Linked DNA regions of Oryzias latipes. The protein of the gene in region 1 interacts with the protein of each later gene in a pairwise test. Links are inferred from orthologs where the notes say so. Each region holds a gene or a part of one and is shown in the gene's direction. Other genes may lie near its edges.

Evidence for each region.
Region 2: the proteins of E3 ubiquitin-protein ligase XIAP (region 1) and ppih interact in binary tests that used the Homo sapiens proteins (3 or more experiments, as listed by UniProt). The two-hybrid records come from large-scale screens. The link is inferred for Oryzias latipes from reciprocal best matches to the Homo sapiens genes XIAP and PPIH.
Region 3: the proteins of E3 ubiquitin-protein ligase XIAP (region 1) and ube2w interact in a two-hybrid assay, tested with the Homo sapiens proteins (2 studies listed by BioGRID and IntAct). The link is inferred for Oryzias latipes from reciprocal best matches to the Homo sapiens genes XIAP and UBE2W.

What each region holds. Positions count from the first base shown.
Region 1 is NC_019868.2:22,024,260-22,035,176, forward strand, and holds the end of E3 ubiquitin-protein ligase XIAP, read left to right. Parts: intron 1-1,579; 5' UTR 1,580-1,612; coding exon 1,613-1,855; intron 1,856-1,953; coding exon 1,954-2,524; intron 2,525-2,634; coding exon 2,635-2,734; intron 2,735-3,048; coding exon 3,049-3,127; intron 3,128-3,375; coding exon 3,376-3,415; intron 3,416-4,472; coding exon 4,473-4,666; 3' UTR 4,667-5,490; downstream 5,491-10,917. Other genes in the region: cohesin subunit SA-2, read left to right, coding at 8,925-8,968, 9,057-9,138, 9,240-9,383, 9,483-9,579, 10,122-10,198, 10,341-10,545.
Region 2 is NC_019865.2:7,774,134-7,785,419, forward strand, and holds the start of ppih (peptidyl-prolyl cis-trans isomerase H), read left to right. Parts: upstream 1-3,380; 5' UTR 3,381-3,489; coding exon 3,490-3,555; intron 3,556-6,577; exon of another isoform or gene 6,578-6,898; coding exon of another isoform or gene 6,899-8,035; exon of another isoform or gene 8,036-8,068; intron 8,069-9,543; exon of another isoform or gene 9,544-9,846; intron 9,847-11,286. Other genes in the region: uncharacterized protein LOC105354339, read right to left, coding at 6,899-8,035. UniProt on the Homo sapiens protein: PPIase that catalyzes the cis-trans isomerization of proline imidic peptide bonds in oligopeptides and may therefore assist protein folding. Participates in pre-mRNA splicing.
Region 3 is NC_019878.2:16,088,036-16,099,214, forward strand, and holds ube2w (ubiquitin-conjugating enzyme E2 W), read left to right. Parts: upstream 1-609; 5' UTR 610-695; coding exon 696-710; intron 711-1,910; coding exon 1,911-2,002; intron 2,003-5,656; coding exon 5,657-5,759; intron 5,760-7,305; coding exon 7,306-7,461; intron 7,462-7,547; coding exon 7,548-7,623; intron 7,624-7,707; coding exon 7,708-7,721; 3' UTR 7,722-9,929; downstream 9,930-11,179. Other genes in the region: stau2 (double-stranded RNA-binding protein Staufen homolog 2), read left to right, coding at 11,074-11,157. UniProt on the Homo sapiens protein: Accepts ubiquitin from the E1 complex and catalyzes its covalent attachment to other proteins.

The sequences.
Region 1 (10,917 bases):
TTTTATGTTTTTAGAGCCGCTGGTAAAGTAATCGCGCGCTTAGCGAACAAGGCTAACTAGCTAGCTAGTCAAATGTTACATGAAATGTAAACAAACTATAGTTACAGCAAAGGTACGCACTTTTAAATAATAATTTGACTCCTTATGTAAGATTCCTTTATCCACTGTAAAACACCAGCAGTTGTCTTTTTTCTTTTATATTAATTTTTAATCCGTGATGTGTAGCCCTTTAAATGATGTGGGTGGAATCTTTGTGAACAGAGCAAAGTATGCAGTTGATAGTTCGTAGAAACACAACAATGACGGCATACGCATTTGTCGCTCACTGGGCGGTTAGAGATGTTAATTTCAGTTTTGCTGTCGCAAAGACAGCAAAACTGTCTTTGCGACAGCATATTTACTGTAGTAAATATGGCCGTTAGCTTTTGATTTGATCACTTGATCACTGAGGCAGAAAAACGTGACAGTGCAAAGATCACATGCAGTCCTCCACCACCAGCAGATAAAATCCCATGTCACAGCTAAATGTGCACCAAATAGTTCCACGTACAGCGTGTTTGTCAGAAGGAGTAATGCAGCATATGACTGTCCTAATGTGTGGCAACAATATCACACAAGAGTCTCAACCTCCTGTAGAAAACAGTGATTGTTTTTGACTGTGCTGCTAGTACATTTCTGGATAATCTAACAAACATATGTGGCAGATCGCTGAAACCTATTAACAGTGTTCCAACATTGTGTTTTGATGAATCAATGATCTGATTAGCTCTTTAAGAATGGTGAACAGTACATCTGCTACACCCTTTGGCATATAAGTTAACTACAGGAGCCGCCCTCGTGCCCATCCCTTGTGCCTTCACTAAAACATTCATTTTTTCAACTGATATCCATCTGGTTTCCTGAGTTACCGGCTTAAAAGAACTTTAAAGAGCCTAGCTATGTGGACAGATTATGACTATGAATGGAATGGACATTCCATACCATTCTATCTACACACACTCTCAAAAAATGTCCAACTGAAAGATATTTGACTTCTACTTTCTGTTTTTGACAAATAATTTCCTCTGGGAGGTGACTAGGCTTGAATAAAAGTCATCACACCTTTAGTATGTGTCATGAATAAGAATTGCATGAAACACAGGCGTGCTGATGCAATGTTTATTAGCACGATGTGATGTCAAAGGTGGACATAAAGATAGGGAAGCTGGTTAACTTCCAGAATACTTTATATTTTTGACAAATCTGAATGACTGAGGAGGACTGAAGCTAGCAGGAGAACATGGCAACAGAGAGCCCTCGGCAACATGGAGAGAAGCGGCGTTGCTCCATGCCAACAGTCCAGCCAACAACTCAGAGGCGAATTTCTAATGATCTACTGCTGCTCTGCAGAAAAATCTGGGCACTTTTTTGGACAAAAATGGCATAGTGGTAATTAGAAGACCCCTGGGAACACTTTAAAAATGGCTCAAAAGATGATCGGAGTAGGTCTTTAAGTAAAAAAAAAGAGATTCCCCCATGATCTATTATTCAAGGTTCTACACTTCTAACTCAAACCTTTTTCATGTTTCTTTTCTTTTAGATTTTGTGTTTACCGCCACAGCTACTTGTTTCAATGATGTGTGACCCCAGCCAAGATGGGAATTGGGAATCGGACTCCACAATTGATTACTCTAAGATAAACAATCGTCTGGAATCTTTCTACAACTCCAGCTGGAGCAAGAAGGTGTCACCGCTGCAACTGGCTGAAGCTGGCTTCCTCTTCACTGGAGTCTCTGACCGCGTACGCTGCTTCAGTTGCCAGAAAACGGTAGAAAACTGGTCCCAGGAAGATCAACCAGTGGACAGACACATACAGGTAATTGTTTATGTTGAAAAAAAAAATAGTTTAGAAATGTTGGGCAATTCTTTTTCAACTTTTTAAATAATAAAGTTCAACATTTTCCTTCCATGCAGGTTTCCCCATCGTGCACGTTTCTCCGCTGCACACACTTCAACCGTTTTAAGTCAAATCCCCATATGCCCCTCAGCAATGGGGGCCTTCATGATGGAACTGAAGGATATATAGATTACCAGTTGAGAACAAGAGCCATTGTTGATGAGACTCCATATCCACGGAACCGGAATATGAAAAGCGAAGAAGCCCGCCTGGAAACTTTCTCTTCGTGGCCGCGTTCTGCTCCAGTCAGACCTCGAGATTTGGCTCAGGCAGGTTTGTTCTACTTAGGAAAGGAGGATAAAGTGGAGTGTTTCAGTTGTGGAGGCAAGCTAAGTGGCTGGAAACCTGGGGACACCCCCTGGAACGAGCATGAAAAACATTTTTCCCACTGCTTCTACATCCTTGGTCATGACGTGGGAAATGTGCCTCTGGAAAGAGATGGAGGAGAAAATGAAGAGACTGGCAGCAGAAACCAACATCGCACACCTGTCAATTTGGAAAATCTTGACGAGCGACTCGGCACTTTTGCACGCGTCCAGCACCCGATTGACCACGAGCTGCTTGCTAAAGCTGGCTTCTACAGCAAAGGTAAAGCATGTTTGTTCAAACATCCCCTTTACAAATGAGATGTACCGGTAATATTTTAATTTTTCTAAATCTAAATGTTTGTTCATAATATTTTTTTATTATTATTCTAGGAGAAGGAGACGAAGTGATCTGTTTCAGATGTGGTGGTGGTTTGAAAGATTGGGACCCTGAGGACAATCCTTGGGAAGAACATGCCAAATATTATCCTGGGTAAAAACCTCCAGCTTTGCTTTTTCCCATAAAAGAAGGATTATGTATTCGTATAACCCTTGTGCTATCCTATGGGGTCAAGATGGCCATTGACGTGTTCTCCCTACATGACAAAGGTGGACAAAGGTGGAAAGATTTCATGTAATCCATAGACACCAGTGAAGATCACAAATCATTGAAGAAAAAAGGTTCAGCTCACTGTCTAGTGGGTCTAGATGACCCAACTCCCAACGTTAACGTGCCTAGGATAGCACAAGGGATGTAAGTGTATTTATGTATGTATCTTACATCCTTTTTTTTAAATTCCATTTTAGATGCAGCTTTCTTTTATCAGAAAAAGGCCAAGAGTTTGTTAATACAATTCAGCTACAAGAACCTAAATACTCACAACAGGTAAGGCATATTATTTCCCCTCATTTAAGAAATCTGTTTCTGAAGCTTCTTCACTTCCCTAGTTTTTGTAGAAATTGTTTTTTTTTTTTTAAATAAAACAAAGAAGGTTTATTTTGTATTATGCCTAGCCTATTCTCTGTTAAAGAGTTGGTGGGGGAGTGTGTTTAAAACAAAAGCTGTTAGACGTTTCTCATGAGTTCAGACAAAAGGATTTACAAAAAGTGATGATGTGACCCTTTTGTTTCCAGGCTTCAGAACATCAAAATGGATTTTTTGAAGAGGAGAAAGGTAAATATTCTTGGATATGTATCTAAATCTAAAAATGTACACTATGGTATTAGTTAGCTGAACCTTTTGAGAAGGAGAACCTAAGCCAGGGGTCTGCAACCTTCAGCACTTGTAGAGCCAATCAGGTTAATTTTTCACTTACCGGAACCCAGTAGGAGCCATAAAAAGACACTGATTTGCATTCATGTTATTGTTACTATTATTGTAAATATAAATCAAGTTGTGGATTTTTCACAGAAATAAAACAGTCATAAAGATAAATTTGTTTGAAATAGTGAGAACTTTTAACAGAGGTTTACATGACTTCCTTTCAAGATAAAAGACTCTCTGTACCACATATGATCATCTTAATGTAACAAATGTTGTTGTAGGAATTGGGATGTCAGCAGTGATTAAAAAACAACAACTATACACTGTTTAATTTATTGTTGTTTATACCTCTCAGCCAGAAATTTGTAAAAATCTAACAAGCTAAAATGAAACTAGATTTTTGACCCTATGGCGCACTTGCAATTGTTGAATTTTGTTCAATAATAATCTCTTCTAGTCTCAGCGTGCCTTAAGTATGAATTCTGGTTGTGTTTACTGACCTCCAGCTGAATTGCTGTGGTCAAATCGTTTCAAACGTTAGACGATTTTGTTTTGATTGATGTATCGTATGGTCTAAAGAATGTTACTTTTTAAAATGAAAAACATTTTAGTATTCTTCAATATGAGAGCCACAAAGGAGGGGTCAAAGAGCCACATGTAGCTCCAGAGCTTCAGGTTGCAGAGCCCTGACCTCAGCTCAGTCATTTGTTGGGGTTAAATTAAAAGTCAAAAAACATTATCTTCTGCAATTTTACATTAATTACATACGAACTGGGCTGACAAATAATAGAAAACATTGAATTTTCAAGCATGGTCTAAGCAGTACGGCAGAGTTAAAAAAAAAAAAGAAAAAAAGTAGGATGCCCAGACCATGACCCTGCTGCACCCCCCTGTGGCCTGCTTGGGCTCTTACAGTTAGAGATTGTCACAATTGGGACCGTGGAAAACTAACCCTTTCTTTTTTCAGTTGAGAACCCTCTAGAGGAGCTGGAGAAGCTGCGGCAGGAAAAGCGCTGTAAAATCTGCCTAGACGAGAACGCGTGCATCGTCTTCATCCCATGTGGACATCTGGCCAGCTGCAAGGCGTGTTCCAATAAGCTCAACCAGTGTCCCATCTGCTGTGCAGCTATAGCACAGAAAATCCGGACCTTCATCGCTTAGGAAACCAAAGACTCTTGTCTAACATGGTTGCTGCTATTCTTTCAATGGAGACGTATTTTTTAAGTGGGTGTCTGTGAAGAAATGGCTTTTTGTGAGCATGTAGGTGGAAAAAACAAAGAGTAATACAACTAAAGGTTTGTCTAAACCAGGTTTGCAAGAACTTACATATAACAGCCGTTTTCTTCACAGCAAGAAAACACGAAAATTTGTTTGTTTGTAGTGATGAAACATTCACAAAACATCAATATCTGCATTTCTTCATCCAACTTGAAGATTTTTAGGGTTTAAGTTGTTTTTAAACATAAAAAGTGCTTTTTCTTCAGACTCGGAATAAAAACTATTCCCCGTGCTCCAAGATCTGGAATTCATTCATTGTTTTTTTTACACAAATCTCCACTTAAAAAAAGGAAAATTCCATTAGTGACTATGTAATATAACGCTATATTCATCAAACATGCACTATAATATATGTAAAGATAGTTGATGTTGCAGAATTAGAGATGTATCTGAATAATATTTTTTCAGTAGTTTGGGGGATAAAGGATTATTCTATCCAGGTGATTTTGTTAGAAGCAATAATTTTTTCTTATTATTGTTTAAAATGTAACGTTTTCATTTGTTTTCTGTTTCTATCTATGCATTTATTTAAACTTTAAAGCTTTGAAATTGTCTTATTTTAGTTTTCTGTTCCCAAGCATATATTTAGTTTTTAAACTTTGATTTATTTTCTTTATTTGTCAAAGATATTTTAATGCATAAAGGCAAAATTTTAAAAACACTACTAATAAAGACTCTTCCAGTGTGGTGAGATGTTTCACACGTCACTCATTCAATTGCTTTCATTAACAGTGAATAAATAACTTTTTTGTCTTTATTTACCTTCCATTTTTCCCTAAAACTGTTTTTTTAATTAAAAAAGTTCCTTAACTATGACAATTTTTTTTTTATCTTATGAAATTATTTTCTAATCATCTTAATGAATATTTTGGGGAAGAAACAACAGGTAGAAATCTAAATTTCAATCATTTTTGATTATATAAAAATATTGAATTAATTTTAATTCTAAATTGGGTGGTTTCATCTGAATTTACATTTTTTTTATTGTTTGATTTAACATCACATTTCAATTTTAAACAATTTCAGACACATTTTCAAACAATATTTGTCTTGGATGTTCAAGTTTTTTAATTTGGAATGGAATTTTTTTAGGATTTTTAAATAAAAAATAATTAGAAACTGTCAATTTGGTAATTTAATATTTATTTTAAATGATTTGATTGCATTTTTATATTTTAGCTAAGTCTTGTTTTGTAGTTTGACTTTTATGTATTTTTTTTGTTCTGTAAGACATTACATTTTGTCGGGTGGGCGGCATATTTGGGTAATATTCATAAAAACAGATTATGTTTCTGCCACTGGCAAACGGCTTCTTCCCCCAGGTACAGCCAACCATCAGGTTAATTCTCCAAGAATTTAAATTTACTTGAAACATCTGACCGATTTGATTAAAAGCTGGTATTGAACCCACGTTGAATTAAGATTGGGGGGAGATGTAGTTTTTTATTATGACAGTGGATAATGAGCGTGCTGCAAAGTAAGCATCCCAATGGAAGGGCTTATTTCTAGGAGTGAAACTTAGAAATCTTTCTATCAACAGACTAGAACATGGAAACCAGCAAAACTAACCACATCCTCTTGTTTTGTAGTTAATTATTATTAAAGTTCAATAGATTATTTATAAATTACTTTGATTTAGCATCTAAATACGTCTCAGAAACGCGGTAAGTTTCTAAGTTCTGCAAAACTAACAACCAGCTGATAAAACTGTGCTGCACATAGATGAAATCAACCCAAATCTATTTATAACACTTTTTTCAATTTTGTTTACTGATCTCTTTTTACATTTATTTTGTATTAAATGGAACTCCGTGGAAGGTGTTTTAGAGTCAAAGCTGTCCTAAAGTGAAAAGGGAAGAGAAGAGCCGCCCCTCCCAAAAAATTGCAGTACCCCTAATTACCACTAGATGTCAGGTCAAGCCACTTGTCGTTCACGCATCCGCTGTGGCCGCTAGGTGGCAGCTCTGCTCCAGGATTTCCTCCTCCCAGGTCGTCGAAACAACAAACCGAACTACGGAGCAAGCGGGGTGAGAGAACGTCCGAAACCGCCTTTAACCGCGACTTTTAAACTCTTTTTACAAAATTATTACTGGATTAAGACACAAGACCGTAAAAGGGTAGTACAAGTTAAGATCGCAACGGGACTACATTTTACCACAAGGTAAGTTAGATGTAAAATGGCGGAGAGCTATCTGGAACTTAGTTGATTTGTATTTTGCTAGCTATCTCGCTAGCTTTGCTAGCCTGAGAAGAGCTCACAGCGCGGCTGCCTGCCTGAACCAAGTCGCTTTGCTAGTTCGCGGTATATGGCAACTTAAACGCCAGTAAGCTAACAATCCCACATTTTTGCACGCCCGCCCTAAGCGAACACTTTGCTGCGGAAATAAGTAATTTAAAATCTGGAATAGCGTTTTAGGACTTAATATATTTGTAAACAGAGTGATTGTTGCTTATGCAATACGGCGGTGGAACTCCCGAGGCAAGATGGAGGACGCAAGGACGTGATGTTTTTTTAAGGTAACGTTAGCATTAGCTGTTAGCATTTTCTGACTAATCGGAGTTATTCTCAACTTGTAAATTGCAGAGTGTGTATTTCGTTTTATTTTCCTTAAGACTAGCATCGTATGCAAGTGGAATACGAGCTAAATATAGTCTAGACTACTAAATATATAGTTGATTAGCGTGATTATACACTGGCTAATTTTAGCTTACAGTAGAGCTTGCGTTGTTTTGTTGTGATAGTCGGAAAATTTCAAGGCGTACAGAGTGCATATATACAATATCTTGAAGTCTCGTGCCGTCAAAGTATGCCGTCTTGCTTTTATCTACTCTTTTCTTGTTTGCACCGAGTCGTGCACGCGCACTACGTTAGATTTTAGTTAGCTGACGTCGAGGAAAATACTCCGAGATCCTCGGTTCCTTAGCTGGTGGCGCTAGCACCAGCAGCGCACCGGTGTCAATTTTGACAGGAACCGACAAAGAGCGTTGCTGTGCCGGCGTCGTTGGAGGGAATTGAGTCCGAAGTGTGCGGAGTCGTGAGACGTTTATAAGCAACCAGATCTATTTTGTGGAGTAATTGAACCGAAATGTATTTAGAATTAGGTCACATGGGCAACTTTATGGGTTTGTCGATACGATTTGGCGCCACTTTTTCAGTCTACACCCATCGTATTCTCTCGTCTTGACATGCAGTGTTTCCCTCACTTCATAGGAAATGGACTCGTTAAAAAAAAAAAAAAACTTAGATTAGATAATATACAAATATTTGAAGTATTCATTCCATGCATCTTTTCATCTGTATTAGATAACTTCAATAGTCCTAAATTTAAATAAATATATATATAAGTTGAACTTTTAAAATAGTGATGAGCTCAAACCGCATGTTTCCAAACGTGGGTCATGATTTGGACGGAAAACATTAGAATCAGGAACGTTAGACAGTTTTTTTTTTTATCTTTTTGCTTAACCATATGTAAGAATACCAGGGCAAAGTGAACTAAAGCCAATTTAGTACATTTAGGAGGATCATGGGTACAGTTTGCTTTTTATTCCTTATTGCTGGACGGTTGAATATATGTTTGTGTGGGCCTTTTTCTACAATTCAAGACATTTGCATCCAGTGGGAGTATCAGGCCGCAAAAAATATACAGCTCTGAAAAGTTACTTCTGCTATCTACTTTGAAAAAAGCTTGTCTTACTCCTTGGCCTGCAGTGTCTTGTTGATGTTGATACTGCACTTTGATTGGTTTGGTTTTGTGTTGGGCGGATTGAGTTGGACCATATTTGGCCATGGAGGATGATACTCCAGTCTAACTCGCATGACAAGCAGGAGTGATGACACTCGGGGAGCCAATGGGAAGATGGCAAGCGTGACAGCGGAGGCTGTGCCCACCCCCTGTTACCATGTGAAAATTTTATTTTACCTCACACAAGCTTGAACAGTGAAACGGGTTCATTCATTTTTTCCCCCGTAGAAATCAAAACATGTTTGTTCAAGTCAGGGCAACTTGGTTAAAAATGCTTAAAGATCTCACTGATTTCTGTCTTTTATTTTAAGGTCACATGCGGCCTTTCCCGTCTTGTGTTTGCTGAGGATCTTAAGTCAGTTCCAAGTTGACGGTATTCAGAAAATGTTACAGAAATGATAGCAGCACCAGAAATCCCAACAGAGTTCGCCTACCCTCAGTAAGGATTTGTTTTATTTATTTTTTCTGATTTGATGGTTGATGAATGCTCGTTGATGCTCATTTCACTGTTTATATGTACCTACTAGGGATACAGACACAAGGTTCTCCTCAGATACTGACTTTTCTGAGGATTTCGATGGAAGAAGTACAACTTCAGCTAAGGGAAAGGTAGTATTTTTTTTAAATATGTAGAAAGTTGTGTTTGTGTTCTATTTATTGGTTTATGACCTGATCTTTATCCTTTTTTCCCTCTCAAATATTTATCACAGGGGGGGAAGAAGGGCAAGAAAGCAATTGGGGATAAAGGCAAAGGAGGAAAGGCAGCAGGCCGCATAAATGGCCACCACCAAGAAAACGGCATGGAAAACATGATGTTGTTTGAGGTCGTAAAGCTCGGAAGGAGTGCAATGCAGGTAAGACCTGCTGTGACCAAATGACCTTTTGGAGTCATTTCCTATTGGTTACGGACATAAACATTGATTTTAATGCACATGTTTATTTATTTCATGCAGTCTGTTGTTGATGACTGGATTGAGTCCTACAAACACGACAGAGATGCAGCACTGCTAGATCTCATCAATTTCTTTATCCAGTGCTCGGGATGTAAAGGTATCCCCCCCCCCATGTACATTGTTTTTGTCATTGTAAAAAAACGTTTGTTATAAATCCCCCGTTTATTGCAGGGTTATGTACTTAGAATAACCCGCACTATTTGAAATCCGCAAAGTGAGATCATAAAGGATTTTTTCGGCTGTAATACCCCTGAATACAAACTTAATACACTTTTCTCCGACAGACAGAACATTTTCACACTTTTCTCTCCTGCTTAAACTCTCCAAGTTCAAACCATCATTGAAAAATAAGTTCAGTATTACAGAATGAAAACAGTGAGCCTCTTGCTATGGGAGATTGATGTAAATGTAGCAAAACTGAACACACTGCACAGCAGATGCGACAGAGGATATTGATTGACGAGGTCAACAGCCAACAAGCATGTTAAAAAAAGCATGCAAAGTGACACTGACAACAAATCACTTGAGACCGCAAAAAGTGAACCGCAATGTAGCAAGGGAACACATTGATCTGATTCAGTTAAGCTACTTATTGTTGTCAACTCATGGTCCTTTCTTCTAACTTGTCTGTCTTGCTAGGTGTGGTCAGTGCTGAGATGTTTCGCAACATGCAGAACTCTGAGATCATCAGACGCATGACGGAGGAATTCGACGAGGTACCTCAACCTGCCACAGCAGCTATACTGATCAAAACTGATCTAATTCCAGTTTTGGAAAACTTGATTGGGCAGTCATTAAACTTCCAAAACATAGCAAGTTTTCAGCATTTCACACCATGATGTTCTTTTTCTTCTGCAGGACAGTGGTGATTACCCTCTTACTATAGCAGGGCCCCAGTGGAAGAAGTTCAAATCCAGCTTTTGTGAATTTATCTCAGTTCTGGTGCGCCAGTGTCAGTACAGTATCATCTATGATGAATACATGATGGACACGGTCATCTCTCTTCTTACGGGACTGTCAGACTCCCAAGTCCGAGCCTTCAGACACACCTCAACACTGGCGGGTAGGTCAAGTCTCTCTGTAAGTGTTTAGATGAACTATAAAGTTATTCAAAGTAAACTTTATTGCATTGCATTTCTTTCAATCCCTCTAACTACCAGTAATTATTCTGTTGTTTTAGTTTAGTAAAAATTTTCACGTAAACATATTGTTTTAGTTCCTGTCCTTCAAACATTTTGTTGCAGTTCAGTGAGATTGCAACAAATTGCTAAATGAACACATTTTTTATATTCTGGAAAAGTGAGTATAGCAATCCACATTTTTACAATAACAAGTATGACTTTTTGAATTAGACATCAGTTGTACAGCCCTGCTTTCAGTCAGTTTGGGAAAGAAAAAAATCTCGATGAACAAAAAGGAAACTTGAATCTTTTGG
Region 2 (11,286 bases), on another chromosome or scaffold:
TTAAGAGGCAATGTGTTGGTTTCTGGTGGCTGCAAAAGAGATAAAGGAATTGACAACTTGACCCTGCAAACAAGTTTTACATATAGCCAATGCAAATGCTGTTGAAATATGATCTTCAGTACAATTTTCACAAGTATTTTGCATCGTTTCTGAGTATAAAACAAAGTCATAAACCCACCAGATCATTGATGTTTTCCACGAAGTCCAAATTTCTTGAGTAAAAATTTGAAGTTCTAATCGTGTTTATGTATAAAGAATCATTTTTGCTTTATTGTTTAACTTGTATGCTTTTAATTTATCTGAATGTGTGTTGTTGATAAATACTACATAAATCAACAATAAAGCCCATCGAGACGACTGTTGTTGTGATTTTGGGCTTTACAAATAAAATTGAATTGAATTGAATTGAATTAAACAAAGCAAAGTCATATTAAAATAGTAAGTCCTGTTGGTAAGACTTGATATATTGGTTAAAGCTTCAGTCAGAAGATGAGATCAAATTCCTGCAGGCATGATCTCACACGTTAAATGATGAAGTAGAGAAACAGGATACACAGGCTACCAAAATTAGGCTTCTTAGAAAGTAAGGGTGTGTGTGGAAGCGGGACGGATGGGGGTTAACAAACAAGGTTTTTACAACCAAAATTATTAAATCAAAACTAAGGAACAGGGAGTTTAATATCAACATCTGAAATCTCTTGCAGAAATACTATAGGTGACTTAAGCAGAAATCAGTCAAATGTAATAAAGACAAATGCTAAAATGAGTTCAGTAGGTAAGGCAAAAAAACATAAGGTGAGAAAAGAAACAAATTTTTTAGAAGAAAAAGAAGGGTTATGAAAAACTTTCCCTATGACAAAAAAAAGCCTGTATTGGCTTAATTTTAATTTAAAATAATTACTTTTTATTTAACACAGACCTTTCTTTTCCATGTGTCTATTCCTGAGATCCTCATTCTCTTTTTAAAAGACTCTTCCGGTCCTCCATACTATATTCATCTTGAAGCTGTTAATCGTAAACAGGAAAACCACAGGCTGGAAAAAAACAAACAAAGCAATGGACAAATCGAGGTTCGACGTCACCCATCGAAAATGCCTTACTCTTGCAGATGAAGCAAAATCCCTCACCCTTCAGTAGGTCATTGTATCTACGGCAATGGCTTTTAAAAAAACGTTATTGTTTTGACACAAGTATGAAGAACAAGAACAATGGCCATAACAATGAGAATATATATTAAAGAAGCAATATTGCAAAACACATTACTACACATTGAAGATCTTCAAAGGTAGACAGTTGTCATATGTACGTATGGCTTTTTTGTTTATACTATTAGAAATGGTACACAAATAAGATTCTAATTCTTTAATTATTATAGGGGGAAAATTTCATCTGAAATTGTGAGTCAAATTTGTGACTTATAAAATATATACATTCTTTCCAAAACTTTTTTGTAATATTACAGTTCCAAAGTAGGTGACTAATTGTTTCTGGGTGTTGTTTACAAAGAGTACAATGGAGGTCAATTGTCGTATTATATCTTAACATGTACTGATTAGTGTGATAGATTATCTATGGCAATGGCGACAGTAGTTGCCAGAGATACGATGACTCAGAGCGACTTAACTGCACCCGTATCAGGGAACTATGGTACTTCCTATTTGGGAACATGAGAAGGGAGAAGTTGAACTGTCCATTGTTCTTATTTTATTTTATTTTATTTAACTTTATGAAACAGAATGCAAGTATACAACACAAGAAAGAACCAATGCAGTGTATGACGTACAATGAATGCATAGTACATAGACAATAAAACAATTTTATGCTCTTTTTGAAATAGTGAAAACACAGGGTAACGCATTTTCCCATCTCAGAGAGAAATCTTTAAAGATATGAATGATAAATCTACTGAACTCCTTTCAAAACGTCTGGGTGGGCAAATACCCAAAAAGATGTGTCACAGTTTCTGAATGATCTCCACAGAAACAATCAGTATTAATATCTTTTTCAAATTTTGTCAAGTATTGTTTTGCAGGGTAAATTTTATGGAGAATTTAAAAAGACACTTCTTTCACCTTATTTATTGTTAAATGTTTATGAGGGATCCTCCACACCACTTTCCAGTTGTTACCTGGAACAAATTGATTACAATAATTTAAAATATACTATGTCACTTATTTATCAGTGTTTTTAAACAGCATTAATGTTCCTGATGGTAGGGCATTCTGCACCATTAACCCTTGTGCTATCTTAGATGACCCCACCCTTGCATTGACGTGTTCTCCCTACCATGACAAAGATGGATAAAGGTGGAAAGATTTCATGTAATCCATGGACACCAGTGAGGTTCACAAATCATTGAAGAAAAAAGGTTCAGCGCACTGTCTAGTGGGTCTAGATGACCCAACTCCCAATGTTAAAGTGCCTAGGATAGCACAAGGTTTATGGACTCTTGTAGACTGACAGGAAAATTATATAGCGATAAGGACACATTGTAGTTTAGCAGCTGCCCCTCCTTATTGAATAGCCGAGCCACCAGCAGGGTCCTATTCTGTGTCCAGGTCTCCAGGTGGAGTGATCTTTTTTTAAATGAAAAAAATCTGTTAATCCAGATGAAATATTTGTGTGGTGAAAAAGGATACTTGAAAATTAGGTTCCACACTAAGAGGACCTGCTAATGGAAAGATGAGAGTTTTACTGGGAGTTTCACAACATTATTGTTACAATTCAAAATAAAATTAAAGCCTCCAAAACTAGAGAAAAAAATCTGTAAATGGTATAATGTTCCAGATAGCAGTGGGGTTCTTAAGAAAAATTTTGGCCCTATTAATTTTAACATTATACTGCAGATAACATCTACTGAGCAGTCCTTAATTGCAAATAATTCACATTACTTTTAGTTTAAGTTTAAAGGGTGGGGTTATGAATGCTTTTGTTCTTCCCACTCATTTTCAAGCAATAAATCAAGAAGCTCTATTTGACATTAATGAATACTATATTTATTTAAGCAAATGTGACAAAAGCGAGTCTTTGTTTTAATCTATGTCTTTCATCATTTCTGTAATTAGTTTGTCAATCTGTGTGATTTAAAAAAAAAGTATTGACTACAGTTAATGCTTGAAATAAAAATAAATCAAATAAAATCAAATTACTTCCTCAAGCGTGAGAAGGCTCCCACAATAACTAATTTCCTCTTCATCAATAGTTCTGAGGTTTTGGATATTATTAAGTAACAAAGAAGAACTGTCCTCATAGTGTCCATTGTTTTTACAGTCCATGGTAAAAAGCGCATAGCACTGATTTTCATTCTTTCTTTCCTTCTTTTTGTATTCATTCAATAAAGTTTGAAGGAAAAAAGCGCAAGTATTTCGCTGACTCCGGCGAGCCACCGTAGACTCTTACTGCGCATGTGCGTGGTTTTCAAATGAGTGGCGTGTGAATTCAACATTGCTATTATTTAAAGTTAATAAGTTGTATGTATAAAATATCACTATGTCTGTTCAACCTACAAACCCAAACAATCCAATCGTTTTCTTCGACATCACCATCGGCGGTCAGGTAAGTGAGCTTAAAAGAAAAGTTGAATAAATGGCTAAAATTTGTTAGCTAAGGCTTAAGGGTAACTTGAAAATCGACTCAAATATATAGTTATTCTTTACAGAGAAAGAATAATATCATGTAAACTGCGCGTGATACGGTTTGCGTCTGTTTATTAGATGCATCCTTATAAATAAAAGTAGTTTTTGTGTGGTGAATCATCATGTGTCTCTGTCTGAATTTCACCGTCGTATTAACAAATTAAAGTCCGGTTTAGACACTCTTTTAACAAACGACGTTTTATTTTTTTTATATTTTTAAAAGCTTAAAGTAATGTTTATACAGCATTCCATTAGATCCAACAAAGACTACACAACATGTTTGGTTTTACTTTTGCTTATTTTCTAGCTTGTTTAATTCTCTACTTAACTTAGTCTGTGAGAGTCTTTCCGTCTGTACTTTGATATCGCAAAGCTTTTTTTCCCCTAGATCCATTGTGTTTTTTTTGTTTTTGTTTTTTTAACTTAATTCAGGTGAATCAAGTAATCAGGGAGTACAACACACATTTCCAAAGTTTAATATAATACTAACGATGCCCTTTCTTGCTTGCTATCTATCAATCTGTCTTTTAAATATGGCAAATGGCGTATACTTATATAGCGCTTAGCTACCTTCTTCAAGGCCCAAAGCACTTTACAGTCGCAGACCCAGTCACACACACATTCACACACCGATGGCGGCTCCGCTGCCGAACACTGGCGCCAACCTCCCACCAGAGGCCAGGTGGGGTTCAATGTCTTGCCCAAGGACACTTTGACTCATGGGTGTGCAAGGCGGGAATCAAACCTGCAATATTACAATCATGGGTCGACCGCCCTAACGCTGCACCATGCCCGCCGTAGATAGGTACCTTGTATTTAATTTACTGCTCTGGAGTGGGGTTGTATATCTTTCCGTCTCAAATGAATTGATGCGCATCTCGATACATGGTCTATGAATTGATACATAAAATATTCAACTAACTTTCCGGTACAGTCCAATTTCTTTTAATCTAAAAGGATGACAAATGACTAAATGGAAAACAATCTAGATATTTATTATTCATTTGGCATATAACATAAGGGCTGCACGATGGCACAGTGGTTAGCGCTCTCGCGGCGAGAAGACCTAGCTGGGAACTCTCTGTGTGGAGTTTGCATGTTCTCCCCGTGCATCCCTTCCTCCCACAGTCCAAAAACACGCTTCATAGATACATTGATGACCTTCAGCTTACTGTAATTAACCTGACTTGGTAGAAATAAGCTTGTGACTGGACGTTCCGATAGAGTAAAGCACAAAAAGAAGAGAAATTGACAGAGATAAACCGATTATTCCTGATCAATTTTATACCTCTATTTTAACATGATCTTGTTTGTATCTGTGATTCTCAACTGATATGGCTGTTACACTCATAACTTGATTAATTTCTTTTATACATTTCTGTATCCTTTACGTCCACAAACATGTTCTTTTTTTTAAGACATTTAAAAACTCTGAAAAACTTACGTGCTTCCTTTTTATAAGGCACGTTGATCTTACAGACTTCCAAGAACTCTCAGGTCCCAAAGGTATTTTCTTTTAACTGTCCCAAATGAAAGCAGCATAGCAAACAATGAGGCCTCATTTGCAGTTGTTGTTGATTTTATCGGCAAAAACAGCCTCCCCCAAGACATTCTGCCTCCGCAGAAATCATTATGGACAGGTTGGACTGACCTTTTTTACTTGTGTTTTTGTGCCTTGCTTCATCAATTTGGTGTCTCCTGCCTTATGTTTTTATTTTCCCCTTCAACGCGTCCTTGCTCCAGAGAATGATGATAGTTTCAGTAGATGTGTTTTTGTGGCTGCTTCTTTAATATGTGTCTAAATTGAGCTGTGACGGTGTGGGATTTTTGATCACCGCGGTGATGAACCAGCAGGGGGCGCTGCGTTCTTTTTTTTTTCATCCTCTGTTATTTAATAGGTTCCGATGAGAACCATTTCCCCGAGAGGCCACAAAACTAGCAAATATGTTGTAATTAACTAGCAGTTAATCTGCTTCTCCAATAGATTTTTGTCAACAAACAACTTATTTTCTCATCTGGATCTGGATGTTTTTAGACAAAAGCTGCATGTTTATACTGGAATGTCTTGCCACATTTGAGACTTTGTTGTTTGCTAATTCCTCATTACATATTAATAATTCATTCATCATGAGGAACTTCAATTTTCTCAAAATTCTCCATTGTTGTCCCAGAACATTGTTGGGAGTCGTGGCGGTGACGCAGGTGTGTAATCCAAACTTTAATCAGAAACCTAATACTCAGCCCGTTAGTTTTTTTTGTTTTTTTTTTTTATATTATTTTTATGAACCTTGCTGACTGCTTGCTGACCGTAGTCGTTAGCACAGGGTAACCGCTACAGGGACGAGCAGCTCGCCTGGTTCCGACCCGTTCCTGGTTCAGACCTGGTGACAAAAATACAACAGCTGGTCGACAGACGACCCGGAGAGGTTCTGCATGATGAGGCTTTTATTCACTTCTCATTCAACCTCATTCAACATGAAGAACTTTCCATCCTATAAGAGACTCTGGTCTGTCGCAGACACGCCCCCTCCGCGTCTTCACGCTGCTGTCTTTCTTCTGCCCGCTCGCACATCCCGACGGTGTGAAAGGTGTGACACGGCAATCTTAGACATGATCGTTATTTTAAAAAACCACAGAGAGCCGCAGGCTGCTGACCCCTGATTTAGCTGATGCTTGACTGTAATCCAAATGGCATAAAGCTAAACACTGAGCCAGAGTAAATGCTAAACATATTTATCAGAGGTTACCGGTGGAAATTCCATTCTTTTTTATCAAACCGTAACATACTTTATCCCGTCACCCTTAAAAGGATACAGTGGGTCAAGAAAATAGATGGATGGAAAAACCCACTTTGATTCTCGTTAGCTATAAAGCACATACCTGACATGGCATGAACTGCCTTTTTAATATTAAATACATAAAAATCGAAAAAGAAACTCACATGACTTTTGAATATATTTTATTGTCTACAGGATAAAAGCAATTATTTGTTTAAAAACCAAAGTATAAAAAAAGTGAAAAGTTGTAAACAGGTAACAATGGCAGCATTTCCCGTACTTTTTTACATAAATCAACAGGTACAGTTGATTGTGATCCCCTTTCTTTACATGAGTTTAAGTATTTTTGCTGTGCAAGCTTGGTAGTTTGGCCCTTCAAGCTAACTTCCTACACCGCAGAAGTAAATGATCCACGTAAGTGTGTAGATATCGTTGTGTGTTTTCAGGGGAACCCGTTGTAATGACAAACAGTTATTCTGTATTTCTTTAAACAAGAAATAAGGTTTGTTCTTTGTCTTTTGACGGGTTGAAAACAGGAAGAGGCATTATCACCTGTTGAGTGCCTTTACTCAGGTGCCAGTAAATGTGCCAAAGGCAGACATTTTCTGGTAGATTGTCGTATGGCCCTGTTGTTTTGCTCCTTACCCAGAACACTACGCCTGTCATCAAACTGTTGGTGCATTCCAACCACAGGAGGTTAACAGAAATGTAGGCAGGTACTGGGAAACCGCAGAGCTGACAGATTAGAGACACTACCAGGTAAGGCATCCAAAATGTACTGAAGCCTAGTGTTAGGCTGGTCCACAGAGGTGGGCGTGGCCAGATCGTTTCCTTCTGGTAATTCTCTCCATTGTTCCTCCCATCAGTTGCTTGTGTTCCTGCAGAAGTGGAAAACAGGTCGCTCTTGTTTGTACGTTGCTGTTTGTTTGTTGTTGTTTGCTGCCTTGCCTCTAGTAGTTGGTCAGCCTCTTTCATCCAGTGGAAAATTTCTGAGCAAAACGGCAGCAGGGTAAATGATGTTCCAATGAAAAGTAATGATGTAAAGCTGGCCACCAGCGTTGACTCTTCTACTTGACACACCAATGCGCGTCTCCCAGTTTCATATTCCATTTCTCTTGGTTCAGCATTGACAAAGATAATTGAGAAAACAATAGCTACGCTCCACACCAGTAAAGTTAAGCACACATTTCTGAAGGATTTGAGGAATGCGGCGGAGCTGCTCGGACGAGTATTCTCCAAGCAGTAGAAGAGTAAACCCAGGCACATCATAGGCAGCGGCAGTGCACTATATATCACAGATGCTTTGGCCAAGATGAAGCAGGGGGACACGAAAGACCTCTCAGTTCCAAGAAACCATATGGTCGTCATTAAAAATGTAATAACCAAGTCACCCAGTGCAATGGACAGGCTGCATATGCTTAGGAAGTAGGTATACTTCTTGGGGCTGCATAAAAAGAAGACAACCAAGTCCAATCCCAATTTGAAGAGAAAAAGTAAACAATAACTGCTCATGTTATCCGTGTGACAGCCAGAGATGTCCCATTGGCCCAGGATCGCCAGCATTTTCATCATTTTGGGGTTTGCCTCAGATGCCGATGAATATTCGGGTGCCCTTTGTGTCATGCAGAGTTCGGTTTCAAGGTGCTCAAGATAGTCCTGGAAAAGATGCAAAACAATGAATTACCGTAGTAGACAGGTTAGTAAAAATAGTGGAGTAAAGTTTACAGCTCACAAGAGACGGAGAAAAACAGGCAAAAAGTACAATTCTTCGTGACTAAATATCATTTTTCAATGTGTGATATGAAAGTTTTGTGGAGGTTTTTAAACAGGCATCTCTTAACACACAGAACTTATGCAGTTTAGCGTAATAAAAAACATCAACTTGTTGGTTATTTAATTGTTGAACTCCATTTTGATCTTAGAAAAAGTTAGAAGCGCACTTCACCCTCTCAGAATCATTGTTTTTAAAGTTCCAGTACAATCACCTTTGATTACTGGAGTCATCTATCCTGAGCAATTAGAACTATGCTATTTTTAGCCTAAAAAAGACAGTTTCTGCAGAGCGGCAGTAGTTTGTTTTAAAATTTACTTCAGAGTCAGCGTGGAGCAACCCCCTCCCCTCCCCTCCCTGTTGCTGAGAGCCTGGACCTTGTGGCCCACCGAGTGTATGTTCTCATAAATACACTGTTTTCCAGACTGCTTTTTTATTTGCATTTGCTCCTGATTTACAATTTGAATAAAGATATACTCAGAAATGTAATTTTTTAGCTTAATTTTCTTTATATGTGTCCTCCATTATCAGAAAAATGCCACGAGTACAAGTTAAAAACACCAAAAACATGTTTTTTTATTGGAATGGGTCTTTAATACTGGCAATCTATGTTAAAAAAATAACCAGGACACATGTTCAACACAAACATTTTTCTTTTTACTTAAAGTTGTTGCTGCTTAGAATATTTAGTTTAGGAAGCTGTTGTCAATAAACTAATTTAGTGCCAGTACCTATTACGTATACATTTTAGTTTGAATAGTTCATTCTCTTACTAACAAAGTACCTTTTAACATAAAAACATATATTAAACATACAAAAATGTATTAAAGATGTGCACAATACATGTAATATGGATCCAAACTTAATTCTTCATTTTGTAACAAAGTCTGTCAAAGCTGGTTTTCAGTTTTGATAAAAGATTAATTCAGAAAATTGTTTTGTGTTGCAATTAGTGACCTTTCCAAACGGATCTCCTAGTTCTTAAGTTGTCCTCATTTATCTGTGTGCAAAGATATGAGTGTCCGCTCCTGCTTTACAGAAATGTAAGCACTAGATTGCGTTTTTACTCTTTTTAGTATTTTACAAACAGTTAAGCTGCTTTTGTCTCTGTATTGCTTCACCACAATTTCTAGAATCAGCCACTCTTCTCTGTTTCATCATACATGGTCCACATTATCTGACGACTCTGGGGAGGTTTTCTGCCCTCAGGGGTTAACAATGAGCAGAATATCTACCTGTTTTACTTGTTTAACGTTACCCTTTATCATTTTTGGTCGTTGTTGTTGAAAATCAAACTGGAAATTTTATGAATCGCTTAGCTAAAAAGCTGAACATGGGCAGCAGCAGTGTTCATACTTACTTTAGGATTCTTTTTACTCTGTTGACATTCACTTCCATCAGCATCAATTCATTCAGCTGCACATTTAAGTTCCCCGATCGAATATTATCAGAAACTGACGAAATAAGGAAATGACTGTACCTGCTTTCTCCTGTGCACATTTTCAGAGGTTCAGTAAACTTTCTGCTTTGGGGAGAGGTTGTGCATGCTTTCAGCGGCTGAGGTTTGACTGCGATGCAGTCCTGCCGCCCCTCCCTAGACGGCTTTTTAAGGCTCCACCTTTTCTCAGTGATATCATACTCGCTATGCAACACCCTCCTTGTTTCAAAGAAAACCTGTTTGCTCTCATAGGCCTAGCAGGTGAGGGCCTCTTCTCGCAATCATTTACATGAACTGAAGCAGGGAAATGCAACACATACCGAGTGAAACCAGACTCTTTGGGTGGTTTTGTTTATTTGTTTCCCAACAAAAGCAGCTGCGAGAGAATTCCACGAATCTACTACTGCTTAAATGTCAGCTTTATGTTGCTTCTCAGAAATAGGGCATTACCTGAGAGTTTTAATTTCATCAGTTTGCTCTGCGTCTGTTTGCTCTCAGCAGGAACAATGTTAAGTTTTTTGTAGCTGCAGGATGGTTAGGAGGTGTGGTGTGGAAATTAAAGTCTCAAGTATGATTAAACGCTTGGTAAGGAGACTATGTTGTTGCAACCAATAATAACATTTTGAAACCGATTTAAACCATTTGTACATTTTCTCAACCTAACTTTCCTATTTTTAAAGGGAACCAAAACGGTAATATATAAAAGAGTTTCAATTAAAAACACGTTCATAAATCGATTAGAAAAAAAACAAATACGTTTTTCATATTTCGAACAGTGTTTGTACTTTTATTTTATTACTCTTATTATGTCTAACTGTTACACTATTAAGTTTCCGTTTTATAGACTGTCTTGTTTTTAAACACATATATATATTTTTTTTTATTGAATTTTATTTGCCTTTCTGTTGTCTGGTTTGTTTTAATGACGTGTGCTGCTGACCTCTTGGCCAGATCACCCTGGAAAAAGAGATCCTGATCCTGACAAGATAAAAAACAAAATAAAAATAATAAAATAAAATAAAAAAGGATTTTACAGGAACCTCAAAAAGCAGGGTAAAAGAAATTTTAGCAGTTATTAAACTATCTTCCTTTTTCTCACTTCCCCATATTTTTGACAAACAATTAAAACTTTCTGCAAATGAAGAGCAGTGTGTGATCTTTTCTGTTTCATATCGTTGCCGGGGTACTATCACTTTGCCGGGGTACTATCACTTTGCCGGGGTACTATCACTTTGCCGGGGTACTATCACTTTGCTGGGGTACTTTCACTTTGCCGGGGTACTATCCTTTTGCCGGGGTACTGTCAGTACATTTCAAGGACTAGAGACGCACTGAAGATGCAGTGGCTGCTGGTTGTCCTGTCATTTATCTGAAGGGTTGAATATAAGCAGAAAAACTGTTCTAATTGTACCGGCATTTCAGTTTGAGTTTACACACTTTTGCATTTTCCTCCTTTGCATGCATGAAATAAAGCTTACACACAAACAATTCATAAAAGAAACTTATGTGAGGTGAAAAGCTTCTAAATCTGTTTTTAATTAGACTCACTCTGATCATCTTTTGAGCTTTCCCTGTGATCTTTTATGATTCACTTTTAGCCTAAATCAAAAAACCTTTGTTTTCTGGGATGTTAGGAGTTTCTGCAGAGCAGCAAGCAATTGTTCA
Region 3 (11,179 bases), on another chromosome or scaffold:
TTTATAACTGATTTGATCTTTTGTACAGTTGGTGAAACCCAATGAGACAACTATTGTAATATTGGGCTACATGAATAAAACTGAATTGAAAGTCTTGAGCATACAAATGTATTTGTACTTCAAACGATATACCTTTTGTAAACAAGCTTAAATCATCACTTTTTCTGCTTGTCATTTGGTCACTTGTCTAATCTTTAAAATAGGGATGGTTTTCATGTTTCTGATTTGTTTTTTGTCTCACAAATGGGAAAACCTAAATAACATTTGGGAACACTTGAGGGTTTTTGTTGAAATTTGTTGATTTGGACTATTTGTTTACTAAAATGTTTTTCCATTATAGAATATACAGCTTATTGTTTTTAAAGGTAAATTTGGACGTTAACAATTTTGATTTCTCTGAATGTTTGACATTATTTATTCAAATTGGTATCGCGTGACTTCGTCCGAATTTGATCCAGAATGGACGTTTTTTTAACGTGTCTGTGGTTTGGGGGGGGGGGACGAAAGAAAAATGTATCAAGTGTACCTTTAAAATGTCATTTCTTGACATAGAAGGAGCGAAGTGGGATTGGGTGTTGGCTCTGACGGTGCACGTTGTTGGTGTGAAGGCTGTTCTTCTGTCAAAACAACTCTGGTCACGTGGGTCGCTGACGTAGCGTTCTCCGCTCTGCGCTGGTGCAGAGGGGGTTTCCATCATGGCGTCGATGCAGGTAAGAGTACAAATGACAGCGAGCGGAATTTAACAATTTACCCTAAAAGTCTTTTGGTTGTTCTCAGCAGTTTGTGTGTCACTCCGTTTAAATGTAATATTGACTTCATATTGGTAGTTACATGGAGGAAGAAGTGGTGTAATTTTCTTTTTTTAACTCGTCAGGTTAGCGCTGGGTCTCTTTGCTAGCAACACACAAGCAGTCCATCATCATCTACGGCCACAGCTAGTGTAGAAACCGTCAACAGAAACTACATTTCGATGCATGGCAGAGGCTCTTTTGCATGGGATATGTAAATTAAAATCTAGGAACTGGACTATCGTGATAGGAAAAGTCATTGAATTAAATGCGAGCTGCTCTGTATTTGGTCGACATTCACCGTGGTAGCTAACGCGACGGTGCGCAGATTGGGTAGCACTGTACTGCTCATCTGAACAGGTGTACTTGTTCTAAATGATGAATGTCAGAATGTCGGCGTTTTTGTCTCGGATATAAATTCAAGAGATCTGGCAATTAAATGAAAGTCGCTTCCCTTTAGTTTAAATGTATTTTGATTCGGTTTGTTGCGTACCTGTATCAACTATGTTTCGATTAAAGGGACCGAATATTTCCTTGTTGTAGCTAAACAGGGAAACGAAAGTCACTGTTCACCTAAATGCAAACATGAGCTTATCAATAAGGCTTACTTGAGGAAAATGCAGTTAATCTTGATCTTAATAATCAAGCATCTTCTCCCTGACAGAAATGCCCACAGCGGGAGTTGTTGGACAAGCAAAATGTCAAACTTGAAAAATAAATTTCCCCTAATAAATATGCTGTTGCAGATATTTGAAGTGTTTTTTTTTTAAAGAAGGCATGGAGTTTACAAACTATTTTACTTCAACTATTTCCTGTTTCACTGCCTAATCCAGCCTAGTCTAATGTTCACTTATAAAATAAAAACGTCCCACCTTTATCAATATGGGCTTTAATTGAAAATGACTAAATATTTTGTTAAAATGCCAGTATAGTTTTTTAATATATTTTTATGAATCCACTCTTTGATTTATGCAAAGTAAGCTTGTTTTTGGTAGTTTAAATAAAGTTTAAATCAATGTGTAAAAACAATTTCTACCATACTAACATTGTGCTAGTATAGTGCTAGTATTACTAGATATTTGACTGTTGTGCAAACATTTGTACACTTTCTTCCCTCAACAGAAAAGGCTACAGAAGGAATTGTTAGCCCTGCAAAATGATCCACCCCCAGGAATGACCCTCAATGAGAAAAGTGTACAAAACACCATCACACAGTAAGTATAACTTCACATGGTTAAATGATTGCTTAAGAAACTTGAGTAGTTTCTGAAATATTCCATTCCCATTAGAAGACTGTTGACTGCTAACAAAGCGGAGGTCGGTGGAAAAGGCTAAACCAGAGCAGGGAGAGGGGGAATGGGGTCATCCTTGTAACTGGCAGCTCTGGCCCTTCAGTAGAGTCTCTAAGGTTGAGTGTCGCAATTCATCCTTATAAAATATTTAAGGATTGGCATTCATACTGTGCCTGGATAATGATTAACAGAGGTGGCACAGCTACTGCAGGATGGGGGATTTCCCTTGAGGATCTGGGAATGTTGTTAAAGAATGTTTTTCAACTTTTTTCTTTTTTTTTGGACATTTTTATTGAACTATTTTAAGATGCTAAATCAAATTTGGAAATAAGTTTCTCCCCTCATTCTGCTTCGTCATGTTCAGGCATTAATAGTGCTATCACAAGAAAGCAGTTGTTTTTTTTTTTTTACAGTTTTTCCATAATCGTACCAGTTTTTACTATGCCATCTTCCTAATAAGATTAGGCCTCTGTATATTCATGTGAATGAATGCTTGGTGTATCCGACAACTGTCCAAACCAGTTCTGCTGCCTTCCTCTGTCCCTACGTCACAGGTTTTTGGTTGACATGGGTGTGCATGTCGTGTTTGTAGCTGAGATTTAAAGGCCTCAAAGAGAAGATTGTAGTGATTCATAACAGCAGGAGGCTCCTTTTTACAACCTTGTATTTCAAACGGTCCAATGACTCAAACTCCATCCATCAGGTTGAAGATAAACAGCTGTTTTTGAGGATGTTGCTGCACAGCTTTTTGACAGTTTGAGCGTTTTTGTTTGTACTACCTATTGGATTCTTTTGTTTTCTAGAAAATGTCTCTTAGTTAAGAGGATGTACGTTTGTGCTTCTAGTTGGAGTCACTTTTCCAATCAGAAATGAGGAAGTGTCATCCGTTTACATCTCCTCCAAGGTTTCTCAAATGTCACGTTTGGAAGGAAATGGGAGATTGGAAATGATTTGATTTTATAATGTTTTGGGTTCAATTCATGTGTTCTTTATTACTACTCTATGCATACCTTCCTCACATTGAAGGCTTTTAAAACAAGGACGTCTTACAAGGACCTGAACTTGACTTTAATTTAATATTGTAAAGCTAAAAATCCAGAAAATTGTGACAAGTTTGATCTATTTTGCGAGCATTAAAATAATGTCAGAGATTGTGATGCTGCATCGTTGCCCCTTTTTACTTTCTTGGGTTCTTTCTGTGACTAAATTCCCACTTTTTGGTCTCTGCTGGGCCCTAGTATTTAGCTTCTTTAACAAAGCAAATTTGCTTTCTGTCTGAAGCTAAAACTTAACATGTAGTGTACATACGGAGTGGTTCTCCACTCTTTCTGGCTCTGCTGTTATCTGAGCAAGATTGCATTTTTGCCACCAAGCTTCGTGGCTCAGCTTTTTAAGGCTGAATAGATTCTGTCCTTTTGTTCAGTGGAGTATCACATTATCAGACAGTGCTCTCACAACCCTGCAGAGGACTGAATGTCGCTGGAATGAGTCAGATTAAAGGCTTTGGTTTTGACACTTCATGCAGAATTGACAGATTCTGGTGGTTGACTCTTAGGATGATGATGAGAAATTACATTAACCCCGTCTCAGGCTAGTGTTCTTAAAATGATGAAGGAAAATGTCAAAATCTAAATAAATTCATTTAATTCATAAAAACAAAAGCAAGTAACTATTTTAAATATCTACAAACTCCACTGTATTTAATAGATGAATTGAATACATGTTGTAAGCGGAAGTATTTTGTAGTAGTTTTAGTTTAAATCAAAACTGTCTTTTCCATGTTTTCCTGCTTAGTGACAGTAAACTATATTATTTTCAGAAAAGATACTTATAAATGCTGAGTGAACATGTTTAGTTGTTTTAAAAATAAAATTGATATGTTTTGGCAAATTACTTAAATAACATGTTATGCAACTTCTAAAAATACATGCTAATAATAAACTATCATTAATAAAGTGAAGTGGTCAGTTAGAAAAAGTTGTTTATATTAAGGGATGTTTTTCTGCTTCTGTTGTTGTATTCAAAGAATAGAGAGAACAGATTACAGTTCATTCAAATGTATTCTGTTGTATAGTAATTTTGGACCTGATAAGGATTTTGATGATTCTTTATTTAAACCATTTTTTTAAATGTTTTTTTGCATTAAAATCTAAACTAAAAGTAACTTCAGGGTTTTTCTCTTTTATTTTTTTCTACTAAAATCTATCAAATGTTTTTATGTTTAAGAGAGAGCTGTAGGATAGTTATCACTTTTGTTGGGAGATGTTTTTTTTTAAATAAATGTTATGACTTGCACAGCACTTATAAAAGAACGAGCAGCCAAAGTGCCGAACACAGAAATTAAATATAAATAAAATCCCTAAACAATAAAAGAAAGAATAATGATAAAACGATGAAAGCCATGAAGCATTACTAGTTAACCGGTTTGTGTGGTCACATATTATTTTGGCCACTTTATCATTGCTGCGTCACTGCCACAATCTTTTCCACCATTGTTCTGGCAGTGTGATGCTGAAGGACAGCAGATACTGCAGAAAGTGACCTGCCGGCACATTTCAGCCGTGATCCTGGCGTCTGCGTCCCATGTTCCATATCTGGGTACACGGGACTGCTTTCACAAAACGAGTGTCAAAGATAAAAGGGGAGTGTGTTGTCCCCGAAATGTTAAATGAAGGTGAAGAAAGCTGCAAACTCCTGGGTTTTTTCCATCACATGGAGATCAGATAGCTTACACGTGATACAAGAAGCAGTTTGTGAGGAAAAGAACTGTGCTTGATGTCTGTATGTTTTTTAATTGTTTACAAATGGAATTTAACCCAGGATAAAGAGCTTCTCTAAAGTATGTGCCGTCTTGCCTCCTTTTTGGTTTGCATGTCATAAAGCAGAACCAGAAGATTATGAAACAACTTGTCATTCTATACTGACCAAATGTTTTTCTTGCAGCAACTAAGACTAAATGTCTGATTTGATTCTTTCTATCATATAAATAAAGTAAATGTTTAACCTCTTTTAAGTCTATCTTCATAAATTCTTTGTTCATTCAAGGAGGGACCACTTGTGTTTAGATGCAGTTCAGAGTGAAATCTTTTCTATAAAAATTCTATAATTTTTTTTAATAGAATTTAAAGAAATGCACTAAAACATTTTTCTGGGCTAATGTCGATTATCTATTCAAGTTGTAAAATGTATATTTTCCTTGTTATTGCCAGATAATTGACTCAAATACCTGTGTGCTCATAACTATCTGTTGCATGAAAGCCAGCTAATTTAATAACCGTTGATTCTACCTTCTAGCCATAAAACAAACCATCTTACAACTTCTAGTGGATCAACATTTTGGCCAGCAGCTGTCGGTGAGCTGCCCATTTTAGAGGCTGCTGTTGTTTATGGAAACCTACTGAACATTCCTCTCCTTTATCTATTGCTTTATTGTTCCCTCAGTGGGGGTAGAAAGCAAGTCTGAAGACATTCTGACCATATTTTTTAATCGCATCACAGATTGGATGTCTCGTTAATGCTGCTTTTATTTTGGTGGGGTTATTGAATCCTGTTTTTTGTCTCTTGCTTGTCTTTTAGGTGGATTGTAGATATGGAAGGAGCGCCTGGGACTCTGTATGAAGGAGAGAAGTTTCAGCTACTTTTCAAATTTAGTGGTCGATATCCTTTTGATTCACCCCAGGTAAGCACGGCCCCACACGACCCTGAATGTGAGACTTTCTAGAGCTCTTTGTCCCGTGCAGCTGGAAAGGTTTAATAATAAATCAGGTTCTTTTTAAGAACTAGCAGCTAGACTGAGTGTCTACGTTTGACGGAACTATTGGAGGCTTTGAAAGATCTCTATTCAGACAAAAAAAGACAATAACATAAGGATAAACTAAGGCAATTGCTCCTTTTCCATGGCTGATAAGAAGTTTTTCCTGTTTTAGACTAAAGGTTCTGCAAATCAATGTGAGAAATGGAGGTAAAAGTTGTTTAGTACCTGTACAGAGCTGCTTTATGGGTGGTGTATTGGTCACACTCTCTTGTTAAAGGAGCGTGCTTTAGAAACAGTGGAGCTTGGATTCAGTCAAATAGTTTCACTCGACTGTTTGTTATGCTAGTCAATTTCTTGACCATCTAAAAATCCAAAATTCCGAACTAAAACCCAACTGAGCTGCTTGGACACAACTCTATTTACTGTAAGGCCAGACTGTCAAAGGTCGGACAGGTCAATACTGTTCGATGGCGTTCTGTGTTTGTGTTCGGTTGCATCAACATAATCAGAGAAAATGTCCCTTACTTTCTGGGATTCTCCCCAACATGCTCATAAATATGTTGCCTTATAAAACTGACCTGATCTATTGATTTTCTGTTTTAGAACCACCTGATGTTAGACTCTAATGAAAGGATTTCTTTGACGTAGTTTACTTCTATAGATGTTCACACTTCTCATTTGCTGCCAAAGCTTAAAGTTAAACACTTCAAAATCTTCACTCACCACCATCCTGAAATTTCTCGACATCTTTCGATTTCTAGACGTATTGGCTAATTTTGTTCATAGATTGCTAGTTTTTGAATAGCTTTTAGGTTTTTGGATTAATCAATCTTTAGTTTTGTGTTATGTTTGCTTATAAATAAAGCTGTTCTTGTTTTTTTAAATCATTTTTTTATTTTACCTGGAAATAATTTGTAATTTTAGATGTTCCTATCTGCCTTGTATTTTGCTCTCTGTGAGTGAAGGATTATACATCTTAACCCCAATCTCAGCTCTTTCTCTGGTGCTATAATCTGGATTATATGGACATTGATTACCTGTTTACAAATCAGTAATAACGTAAGAAGGCTAAAAGTACAGTCTTCCCATATCGAATCAATCGTACAAAACAAAGAAAAGCTCTTATTTTTAGCAGCATAAACCATAATGTAAACAGTGAGTAGAAGCAGCTGGAATGAGGAAACTCTTTGCCATATTTTCACTGCATTATAATCTTTCTGCCTCCTTTACTGACCTTTTATATGAACAGCTGATCTCTTGAACTTAATCCTATAGCCTAATGTTTCTCCAGAAAGTAGTTGTAATAATAATCGAGTTTTTTTAAACTAAAGTAAGAAAAAATAACTTTTCCTTACTTTACTTGTTTGATCGTGAACAGGCCTTCATTCCGTATTAAGTTAGGAAAAACTGCGTTCATCTTTGTTTGTCACTTATAACTTTGAGTACTGTAACCTGTCTTTCCTCTGCGCAGGTGATGTTCACAGGGGAGAATATACCTGTTCATCCGCATGTGTATAGCAACGGTCACATCTGTTTATCTATTCTGACAGAAGATTGGTCACCAGCGCTCTCAGTGCAATCTGTTTGTCTTAGCATTATCAGCATGTTGTCCAGCTGCAAAGAAAAGGTAAGTAGTTGAACGCAGAAGTTCCTGTTCTTCCTGTTCTTCACCTCTTGGACATTTTTATTTATCTATTTTTATTTTTTTGGCAGAGACGGCCACCAGATAACTCTTTTTATGTAAGAACGTGTAACAAAAATCCAAAGAAAACAAAATGGTGGTATCATGGTGAGTACTTTGTCACTACTTTTTTGATTATAAATTTTTTTTTATCAATTTTAAACTGGCTTTCTTGTACTTTTCCCTCCACAGATGATACTTGCTAATGTACAAACTTTCTATTAATGGTAGAAGACGCAGCCCTACTGACCTACATGAAGCACTTTTTAATCCTTCAGTCTTTGAACTCTGACTTGTGACTGGAACATTGGAAACCAAGCGCAGGACTGCCTATCCCCCCCACCCCACCCCACCCCCCACCGTGGACAGTCGGCTGCATGTTTTTAGTTTGCTGTAACATAGAAAGTGGAAGTAAATGAACATTTGGATGCACCCACACAATATGGTTTGTGGCGAGACAGCCACAGTGCAGCGAGCAGGAAAGGAAGAGTTGTGGTGAGCTAATTATAATTCCTGTTTTAAGATTATTGTTACTTTTTTTTCCGTTTGTATTTAGGTGCATTTTAGGGTTTTGTGTCGTGCAATAATAACTGATGGATGCATGCTTGGGCCTACAAAGACAAAAATCCAAATCCAGTCATCATCTTGAAGGAGTCTAACCATCAAAACCCCAAGAAAATGCATCATCCGTTTAGTTTTTTTTCTCCTTTCACTATCATTGTTATGCACTGTGAAATGATTTAGTTTCAAAGAACCTGTGCACATTTATCCCCCCAACTTGCAGATGTACTGTAAGAAATCCTCCACCTATTTATCAGGTTTAAGGCTTTTAGTTTCAAAGTACAAACAGTTTCCACCTTGACACCTGATGGCAGTTCTTCCTGCTGTTGTTGCTACAGATGGAACTAAAGTGATATTAGATCTAAAGTTATTTAATGACCTCACTGTACATCTCCACTCGTGGTTCGGGGTAGTTGTCAGTAGTCCAGCCTTCAAGATGTGCAGCAGCTTATCTTCCATTTAAAGAATGTCTGTAGGGAAACATTGTTGCAGGATTCTTTTTTGTTTTTTAATTTGTACAATACTTTTTTTAAATATAGGCTTTAATTTTTTCTTCCTCTAAACTATTTGATTTTAAGTGTATGTTTTTTTTTGTATTCTTGTTTTGCCCTTAGCCGATACTTTAAATGGGGGATTATAGTAACAATTGAGGGTTCTTGTTTTTTTTTTATTTCTTTCCTAATTGTTACTTAATTGAAATCCTCATTTGATCTCCAGTGCAGCAGTGAATGATAAAATGAGGCTTTGTTGGAGTTGTATAGAGAAGGCATTTGTGATTTTTTTTTCTTTTTTTTTTTTTTTCTTCCCCTCCTGGTCAGAGTTGTGACTCAGGTACTTTTTCAATAAAGAGATCACCTCTAAAAAAAAACAACAAAAAAAAGAGAGAAAACTATCGTATATTTTGAATTAAACTATATTTGCACCAAAAGAGACTGTTATGCTGTAAACTTATAACATGTCTAAAACTCTTGTATGCTTTAGAACTATTGGATGATGTGAAAAGGTTTGGCAGATGGTACATTAACTTCCTAGCTGAGGGATGAGATGAGTGCTTATTTTACTGAAAATTAGTCGACATCGACATCTTTCACTACATTTTTTGCTGCGTACAGTCAGCGATAAACTTGTACTATAGGGGCGCATGCAGTTTTGATATTCTGATTTTGACACTAGACTTTCCAGAAAGTAGATGAGTCGTTGGGGGGGTATTACTACACTTCCAACCAGAGGATTTGGTCAATTCAGGCTGTAATCACTCCATTCCTCAAGCAAATGTTTATCACCATCCAGTCGGAGATACTTGAATTTTCCTTCTATTTTTTTGTATTTATGCCTACTTTTTTCCTCCCGTCGCCTGGTGTTCTTCCTTGATTGAACTAGAGTGAATGTGACTATAATCTTTATTGTACAAGCAGTTAAAACAGCACACATTGTTCTAGAAATTATATAGATAACTTAAAGACTCTTGAATTTTTTTTTCTTTGCTTTTCTGCAGTGGGTGTTGTCCAATGTGTAAATGCAGTCATGAAAGCATTCGTGCAACAAGCAGTAGATCAAAGGACATCTTCATCTGTTGGGAGTGATTATGTTACAAGGGTTTGGATGTGATTTCTTTATTTTTATTTTTAAAACAATGCTACCCCCTTTTTTTTATTTAATTTGTTGTTTTCAATGTGGGTTTGGACTCTTAGCTTGCAGACTCTTATGAGTGAAAACACTAATGAGGGTGAGTTATTTATATTTAAAATGTTATTTTGGGATGTGCAAGCTCCATGTAATAGGTGCCTGTTCATTTTCATAATCAATAAAAGCAAAGATTCACTTTTATTCAACATTTGGTTTGCACCAAAACATGACAGTGTCTTTTGTGTCTTCTGTAATTCTTTTTTTTGTTTTTTCCAAAATTGGGTCAAATCCTTTGACAGTGATTCTTGGAAGATGCATCAAAAATTTTCCCAGAGTACAGAGTGCCTTGTTTTTGTTGTCTGTCAGCTTTCGGCCGCTTTCAACCAAAACTCCCAACAATCAATCAGTCATAATCCCTTTGTACAATAGTGAATATTTACAACAGCCTCATTCACCCCCCCCCCCCCCCCCCTTTAGGTTGTTTTAGAGTTGTTTTAACCTGTGATACTCCAAAAGAACCTTAATAAATGAGATATTTTCTACAACATAAAATGGCTTTACAAATACAAATGTCCTTATGATGTGCTGTTCTTTTTTCCCCAAATTAAAATGTTTCACATTTTAATTTTTTCATTCATAGTTCTTAGGAGAAAAAAACATTCAATGGTAATCGTGAGCACAATGAATCACATCTGTGTAAATTAAAGATTCAGGTTGCTTTGCACTTGTTTTTTATTTATATATATATTTATATATATACATACAAATATTTATCTCGACAGTAACTTGGGGAAATATAACCTGAACAAGTCGCGCCCTCTTGTGGTTGTTTGCAATACTACGCCAAAGTTTAACACTGAATTACAAACACATAAATAACCGAGTAAATAATTATTTCTCTGATACGAGGCATATGATGCTTAAAGTTCTGTAACCTAGTTTTCATTTTTACTGTATTTCTCTTCGTCCCAAATTTGGGAAACTTAAGGCAAATTAATTCCAGTCTGGAACTATAATTTTAAAATGAAATCTAGCATTGCATCATCTGAGTAAATTGCAAAAGAAAGCCAGTGTGCAGACAATGCTAAAAATAAATGAAAAAAATAAAAACACGAGCGCTTTTAAATCTGAAAAGTATTTTTGCAGCCCTGAAGAAGCGAACTGGGACTAAACCATTTTCAACTCTGCGGGGAGGTCCGATTCTTTCAGTATTTACCCCCACTCAAACTCCTTTTACATTTCTATAGCTTTTTATACTTCTAACAATCATCGAATTAGAGCTGTAAAAATAAATGCAATAAAAATAAATACTGAGCTTTTTATCCTATTCAGAAGTATACGTTTTTAACACTTCCATCACTGACAATTAAAATGGTGTGTTCCCCTCTTTCCATCCAGTTCTCTTTAGTGTTTGCCAATGTTGGAGGTGTAACTGGGGTCTGGCCCTGGACAAAGGTAAAAGAAATCCCCCTAAATG